Linked DNA regions of Arabidopsis thaliana. The protein of the gene in region 2 interacts with the protein of the main gene of each other region in a pairwise test. Each region holds a gene or a part of one and is shown on either strand. Other genes may lie near its edges.

Region 1 (4,509 bases), on a different chromosome or scaffold from region 2:
GCCAAGTGTCCCCTTTGGATGATTCTCCTGAGCTTGCTGCTTTTCTTGATCTTGTACCTTATAGTGACTTGATGTTGCTTGATGGGTCTACTAATCTTGATGCTTACTTGTATGATCTTGGACAGCCTCCTTTTGTATAGGCCTTATCTCTCTATCATATATCTCTTTATCAGCTGTATTTGCACTTTGCTTTACAAGTTATCTTTGACAATCTAAAGTCTGTCCCTAATGTATGAATTCCAGTATGCATAATCAGATGCTTACTTCATCATATGTATGAAAAAGGGTTTTAACTTCAAAAGTAACCATCACATGCGATGAGATAACTCAGGTACAAGATGAGCCTTGGAAGGTCAGAGTCCTTACCAGTTTTGGACCAAGTGGTAGGCCAAGGTGAGTAAAGTGAGGTGTTTTAGATGAAGAGCTTCTTTGTAAGTCAGGTATGAATAGGAGAGCACATGCTTATGTCATCCCGAAATTCTACCAAACATGAAACATTGATATATATGCTTCTATGATGTTCTTTTTTGAGGCTCCAATAATACAGCCTCATGTGTCAACTCGTCTCCCTCAGGCCACAAGAGTCTTGTCCTGGAGATTCCAGAGTGCAGCAAAGTCACATAAGCAAACATCCAAATCAATAGCTTGGTGGGTTTGATCAAATTCCAAACTGAATTATGAATGACTCTGATAAGAGTTCTCCTCAGAACCGTTCTACGCATCTTGTTAAGTCTGTACACATTCCTGAAACCTGCCTAAGCAAAAGAGTAATTGCAGATCACAGAAAGAGAGATGAGCACAATTTGGAACTGCAGACACTGATACACAAACCATCATACATTGATACTTCACAAAAGTACATCTTGATATGTCAGATACTATGAGAGTTCTTTTGGTAATTCGCATTGCTACTACCAATGTAACTCTACAATGCTAAAAAAGAGAATGAAAAAGAAGAAGAAGAAAAAAAGCATCGCGCTATAACTTAAGAAAACCTAAAGATCAATAATAATAACATCTTCTCCAAATCGTATGAGCTTTAGATCCAACCATTGCTCCTTGCTTCACATCAGTAACTCCTCCACAATCTACAATCCTACAACTTCTTACCTATACAACAAACAAAGCACAACTGAAGTTTCAGTAAACTCATCAATCACAACAAAACACACATAAAAATGAAAACTTTACCTGAAGCAGCTCTTCGTTTCCCAAGTTTAGATTTCTCAAGCTCCAATTGCATCTCCATCAACATATTCATTCGTTGTAACTCAAGCTCCTTTGCAACTTCCATTCTCTGTTTCTCCAATTCAATCATCATCTGTTGCTTCTTCCCCTCGATTCTCTCAAACGCTTCCCCTAACTTCAGAATCGATCTCGCTAGCTCCCTAAAGGCTGATCCTTCACTCGAATCTACATCTTCAACTTTACGATGCTTCCTCACCACAAATCCCCAATCACCCGCATCATCATCATCTTCTTCGTCGTCATCATCATCATCATCATCGTCATCGAGAGAGCTACCAGTTGATTTAGATCCAGTAGGATTCAAATTAGGGTTCATCAACGCCGATTTAACAACAGCACCGGACGATTTCTTCATAACCGGACCGATTAAGAAATCGAGTCTATCAAAGAAGCACCAATTCGATAAAGGTTTCGCCTTTTCAGTTTTGTACTTCTTCTTCAACGTATCGATCCGGTTTTTGCACTGTACATCGGTCTTTGGCCGGCCATTCCCGTGGCTTGAATTGACGGCGTCGGCGACTTCTTTCCAATCGTTTTGCCGGAGATTTCCCCGGTTGAGATTGACGTAACGATCTCCCCAAGCTTCGATCAATGTCGCCGTAGCGTCTTCGCTCCACCAATCCTCTCTTCCCGCCGGTAGACGGTGAGTCTTCGACTGAGTCTCCGGCGTCGTCTCCATCTCGGAGTGGGAAAGAGAGGAGGCTAACGTGCGCGGTGGAGAAAGAGGCTTAGGATAAGAATTTCTGTTGGATCGGATTTTTGGTAAAGTTAAAAGAGAAATTACGGTTAAAGGAGAGATTTTTGATTACCGGCGGTGACGTCAGCAACGGCGATTATCTTCTTTCTCCTACCTCTCTCTTTTTCCTCTGCTAACCGAATCAATCACACTCATTTCTGAAAAACCGGTTATCGAAAACGGTTATCGAAAACCGGTTTAATCATAAATTGAGAGTCCTACTAACTAGGCTACTACTAGTTATAGTCAATTTCAAGCTTCTTTTAATGCGTTTCTACGGGTAATGATGATAAGATTACATTATTAAACTCATAGACTGATTGATAATAACGATTAGGGCTAGAATCTCATCAGTTCATGTCATTATAGGAAATCTTATAACGTGTATTTTTGTGTATTCTAGGAAAGACAGTAAATATGAGGTTGTATTAGTTTTGGTAGTGGTTTTTAAAAGTCATAATTGGAAAGAAAGAAATGTTATCAGAATATTAAGAAAATTTATACGTTTTGTGTATTCCAGTAACAAGATCATTTACGTTACGCCGTAACAAATTGAAGTTTGGAAGTGAAAAATGGTGGGATGTAATTAAGGAAATAGGTAAGCAGGCGAATTGTTAGGTAATAAGAGAGAGCATCGCAAACGTGTTAGGTCGTAGACTCTATGTCTATAATGTATGTTTCGTGCCGTGTCTTGTCTAATTGTCTTTTTGCTGTCTCGCCAATTGATATGTTAGTCCATGCCTAACTACTACTGTTTCCTCATAACTACTAAAATGTCGCTGAAATATTTGAAAAAAGAGCTGAGGTGTTTTTTCTGTCGATCAAAGTTTCCACGATGGTCTTGGTGAAGAGCTAGTAGAAATAAGCATATAGTTAGTGATGTTAACTTGGGCATTGAATAGCCATTTGTTAAATGGGTATGTGCAAAAAAAAATAACCCATTTAAACCCATTTAGAGAAAAATATCAAATGGGGTTAAATGGGTTACCCCAATTAAACCTATTTAATAAATGGGTTTACCCACAAACAAATGGGTACCCATTTATGTTTTATTTTATATTAGTTATTTTTATTAAAAAGTAGATAACTTAATTATAACTAAAATAAAGAGCAAAATACTAAATATATTTAAAACAAAACGTAAAATCACGTTTTTCCGCTAAAACCCATAAAATTACGTTTTCCCACCAAAATCACGTTTTTTACCAAAATCGAAAATCACATTTTCCCACCAAAATCGTAAACCGACGTTTTTCCGCCAAAATCGTAAAATCACGTTTTCCCGCCAAAACTGTAAAATGACGTTTTCCCACCAAAATTGAAAATCACGTATTTTCGCCAAACCCGTAAAATCACGTTTACCCGCCAAAATCGTAAAATCACGTTTTCCCGCCAAAATCGTAAAATCACGTTTTCCCGCCAAAACCGTAAAATCACGTTTTCCCGCCAAAATCACAAAAAGTGTTTTCCGCCAAAACCGTAAAATCACGTATTTCCGCCAAAACCGTAAACGACATTTTCCCGTAAAACCGTAAAATCAAGTTTTCCCGCCAAAATCACAAAAAAAAATATTTTTTGCCAAATTTGAAAATATTATTATCATTATATGTTATTGAAATCTATATTTTAGTAAATTATAAATATTTCAGATTTAGCTAATGTTTATGGACTGTTGTTATTTATCTATTAAGTTTATGAATTAATTAATAAAAGGCAATATCTCACTTAATTGGTTTAAATGGGTTCACATGGATTTACTAAATTTAAATGGGTAGGGTTAAATGGGTTTCAAAAATAAATGGATTTATATGAGTTTAAAGTTAAATGGAGTGGGTTTAAATGGGATGGGTTTAATTGGGGTGGGTTAGCCCATATTAACATCACTACATATAGTTTTCTAAACTAAATATGTCATTATCATCATTTACTGGTTTACATGCATCTTTTATACATTTCAAACTTTCTTATGAAAACGCAGATGTGAAAAGATAAATCATGATTTACAGGTTATCAAAGTGATGTGAGTTGGAACGTAAAACAATTTAGTTTGTCAACTGAATCTTAGACGCAATCGATTATTGTTACTCTTAAATCACTTTACAATAATATCAAATATCACATCCTGCAGCCAAGTAATCGAGCTAATCCATGATCAAGTATAGGTGGTGAAGCAACTAAAAATGTAGCCAATTTCGTTTGTACGCATAATTAAACAATGCTATTTATTTTAGTATGTTGCTACTTGCCAGTTGCTACCATTGGGATCTCGAAAACACACAAACGTACGTGCATGTTGCCTAATATAGTCTTTATTATTGTTCCTAAACTAATTAAGACAAATTAAAACAATATATAAAGTAACAAAAAAAAATCCCACTTTCCTTCAAACTTGAGTCTTGCTTGTACAGACAGTTGTACTACTTGTGGAAGCTGTTTAACTCAAATTAATATTCTCTTTCTGTTATTTTATTTAAGGAAATACAATCACGTGACTGAGATTAGCACTAGTATACTATATATATACA
Region 2 (4,225 bases):
GAAAAAAAAAGGAATCAACTCGTAGACAACCGTTATTACAGGTTGCTACTGCAATCATTGACAAATGTTGTTCCTGCAATTGGAGGTAGTGAAGAAAACAAAACCAAATCAAATTGGATATTAGTTTATAACTTTCAAGTGATTATATAGTTTGATTTACTTTAACTTTTAGTTTTTTTGTCATCTTATTTAAGTACAATTACCAAGGAAATATGCAAGTTTGAATTACAAGAGCGGGCGGAAAATAAATACATCCCAAAAACTTAATCCAAAAGAAGGAAGCGAATCCCTAAATTACAGGAAAACTGTCAAACGTAAATTTTTACATATCAAAAAGACAAAGCAAAATCAAAGGCATGAACGAAGACCTAAGAGGAACCACGATTTGCTAAATTCACTCCCATGTCCCAGGAAGAACAAAGCCAACCACAAAAGACAGTGAAATTTTTCGTGTTTTGTTGCAAATGAATCAACACTGAATTTTTTTGATTTATTATAGGAGTTATTTTTGTATATTGCAAATGAATCAATAGTGAAAAAATTTAGCAGCAATTATTGAGCCTATAATATAATTTTATAGTTTTATGGTTGAGATTAGTATGACATTGTTTTCTAAAGCCAAAATAATAATATTTAATAGTAGTATTTTCTGGCTCCAATAAAAATAAGTTTTGGATTTTCCCCTAGACCATGAGAATTCGATCTTTAGGACATTATCAAATGGGTTTAAGAATAAGATGTCTAATAAATAGCTTATTTGGTCAAAAATATACGAAAACAAAACATGATGAACAAAATAAACTCATCATCATCCTCCAACTCGGGTTTCATTGATTCACTTGATGTCCGATTTCGTTCTCCTCAGCTTTCTCTCCGGTCGTTCATGAAGGCTAATCATTCCCTTCACGTATTATTTAGATATACAAAAAGTTAGAACAAGGTTCTCAAGTTTTTAATTGATGTACGGTTGAGGAAATAAGATTGGAATAAATAGATTACTGGTTCCATTTGTCTTTTCCGCAACTCTACATGTTGTTTTAGTAGCTCTTCATAATCTTTCTTTAAGTTTTCAAGTTCAACTTCAACCTCCATAGTTTGAGCCTAGAGAGCAAAAATGAGCAGTTTGGTACTTATAAAACACAATCAATCAAGATGGATAGATAATATATATATATATATATAACATTTTCTTACTTGCTTTCGAGCCCGTGATCTCGCTGCGGATTCTCGGTTCTTAATCTTTCTCCTAAGCTTTTTGTCAACGAATTGTTTTTCCGCGGTAATTTCACTATTAATCTTCCCACCTCTTGTACTAGTACTACCATTACTAATGTATGGAGATGGTGAGAGTAATGAAGACTCACCGTTAATCTTTTGTTTCCCATTTAATGTTGGAAATGGGGTAACCGGTGAACATGTTATGGCTTCACTTGGAATTGTCGCAACACTTGGGACCAAGCTTCTCTTCGTATCTTGGAGACTTTGGTTACCAGATCCCAAGGAACCATTTGAGAATCGGATTTGTTTTCCATAAGAATAACCATTTGGCATAGACATGATAGATTGTTGTGGTTGATATGTTGACATAGATCCATTCACATTTTGATGCAAATAAGAATCATGACTCCTTGGAACCATATTGTTCATAAAATCAGAAACCATGGCTTTTGGCTGAATCTGAACACCCAAACTAGTGTGTGGATTACCGGAAATCGATGACGATGAGTCATGAATGGAGCCACCATTGGTATTACCTCCTCTTGCTCCAGCACGGATGAAAAACTCTTCAAGAGTGATTTCCCCTAAGGTTTGTTGTCCCTGAAGATGAGTAATGTTTGTTACTCCTCCATTGTTATTGGTGTGTTTTTCCTCTGTGATAGATTTCCAAACTTCACCAACATTTTGTTTGCTAAGTGTTGGAGGCAGAGTAGTTGAGCCTTGCCTCTGCGACCCCTCTTGTGTTTCTTCAGCACTTGATATATGCTTAACCAACTCATCCATGTTCATTGATCCACAATCTAACCCTAAGCTGGTCTGAAACTGATCTACTGTCCATGAGTATATTGATCCTTGTCGGCTTAAAGAAGTACTAACTGGCAAATCATTCACCAAGTTTTTAAGTCTCCAGTAACTATCCATTTCACCTGACACAAATCCGAGTGATTAGTGGCCTTAGAAAACAGTTGTTGAAATGTAAGAGCTTTTGAGGTTAAAAATCATGCAAAACAGAGGAAAGGAGAAATTTTAAAACAGAGGGAGAGAGAAATGATCAAGAAAAATATTCATTTTGTTTCTCATAAGTTTTTTTTTTTTTTGGATTAAAAGTTTCTCATAAGTTTCAGTGAACCAAAAGAGTAATTGAATATATAAGAAAACTAATGTATGGCAATTAACCCAAAATAAAATAAAATAATAAATCTAAGCTGAGTTAAGCACATTATCCAAATGAAGTAAGAAAAATCTAGAATAAAAGGGATCTAATAAAACAACAATTTGTATAAATAAAAAACACTATATAAGGAGCAAATAATTTATTTTACCTTTCTCACTTAGTGTATCTATCTAGTAATTGAAAGTTAACTTTTTAAATATAAGAAAGATCTAGATGAGTTGATAATTTTAAATATATTTTTTTACATTTTTGTATAGATATTTTTCATAAGTATTTATTTATATTTAAATTAATTTAATTAAATAATAAAATTTTAAAATGATTAGATTATTAATAAAAATTACACAATGCTGTTGTAAACAACATGCATTATTGCATTATGTAGATTTGAACGTCGGTAACTATCCAAAGATAATATTTATAAAATTAGTAAATTGATATGATGTATTTCATGGTAATTAATCTACTGAATCAAAATCGCACCACACAAATGAATTCATGGAAAACTATCCTTTTGACTTGATAATAGGTTAGCGGGTGGTTCTCTTTTTAGAAATTTAGACCATGAATGGCTTTAATTTGTAACTTTAACTGATGTTTGGCTTTTGGTTTACATATTTTCTTGTTTTTTTTTTTGGAGTTTTTGTTAATGATACAATAACTAAGGAAAAGAAGATAAAAAGGGTGGACTATAGGTTTTTTATAGGTGGTGTTGCACGATAAAATATTTTAAATTTTTATAAAATTTACTAAAGAATTTGAACTCAAAATGATGTATATTATAAAATACTATGAAAAAATATAAAAACATAAGATTAAAATTATCTGCTAAAGGTGAAATCAAAGTTTATGACACAGAGACATGACTCTAATAGATTGAGACAACCTTGAAAATATGTTTTTAACCATAACTAATATAAGATACATTTACGAAGAATATGGTAAATGGACGTAACCCTCAAAAGCATTTAACGAGACTATATTAGCAGTAGAACAACATCATAGTGAAAGATGTGATCCTAATTGAAAACATATCGAATGAAGAGTTATAATGATTAAGAAAACGTTTGACAAAAAGTCAAAAAGAAAAGAAAAGAAGAGTTACAATGATTTTACGCAAATTTTCAGTTTTTTTTTTACAATGGTAAATAAAAAATTTATTCAACAACAAATTATGATAAAGAGACACAAGACTAAGAAGCATTTATTGAGATTGAGTTAAATCCATGGACATGTTTAACAAATAATCAAAAGTAATAGTTATATTTAGGAAAAATATATATAAATATAAGTATAAACAGAAAGTATATATAACCAAACTGGACATAGTTATGACAGATGAGGAACGGCATCGAAGACATCTTAGCGCCTCGAATGTGTCTCAGGTTTATATAGGTGGAGTTGAATCTGTGCTTCACGTGTTTAGAGACTGTCCAGCTCAATTGGGGATTTGGGTCAGATTTGTGCCGCGAAGGAGGCAGCAGGGGTTCTTTTCGAAATCTCTGTTTGAATGGCTCTATGATAACTTGTGTGATAGGAGTAGCTGTGAGGATATACCGTGGTCCACCATTTTTGCGGTGATAATATGGTGGGGGTGGAAGTGGAGATGCAGTAATATATTTGGGGAGAACACGAAATGCAGGGACCGTGTGAAATTTGTTAAAGAGTGGGTTGTGGAAGTGTATAGAGCACATTTGGGTAACGCTTTGGTTGGAAGTACGCAACCTAGAGTTGAACGGCTGATTGGTTGGGTGCTTCCATGTGTGGGTTGGGTGAAAGTAAACACAGATGGGGCGTCTCGTGGAAATCCGGGGCTGGCTTCTGCAGGCGGAG

Evidence for each region.
Region 1: the proteins of AT5G42910 (region 2) and AT3G11100 interact in binary tests that used the Arabidopsis thaliana proteins (3 or more experiments, as listed by UniProt).

Annotation. Positions count from the first base shown.
Region 1 is NC_003074.8:3,475,394-3,479,902, forward strand, and holds AT3G11100 (sequence-specific DNA binding transcription factor), read right to left. Parts: upstream 2,508-4,509; 5' UTR 1,928-2,507; coding exon 1,192-1,927; intron 1,111-1,191; coding exon 1,097-1,110; 3' UTR 794-1,096; downstream 1-793. Other genes in the region: LBD21 (LOB domain-containing protein 21), read left to right, coding at 1-140.
Region 2 is NC_003076.8:17,201,822-17,206,046, reverse strand, and holds AT5G42910 (Basic-leucine zipper (bZIP) transcription factor family protein), read right to left. Parts: upstream 2,306-4,225; 5' UTR 2,140-2,305; coding exon 1,195-2,139; intron 1,102-1,194; coding exon 1,000-1,101; intron 902-999; coding exon 836-901; 3' UTR 667-835; downstream 1-666. Other genes in the region: AT5G42905 (Polynucleotidyl transferase, ribonuclease H-like superfamily protein), read left to right, coding at 3,724-4,225. UniProt on the Arabidopsis thaliana protein: Could participate in abscisic acid-regulated gene expression.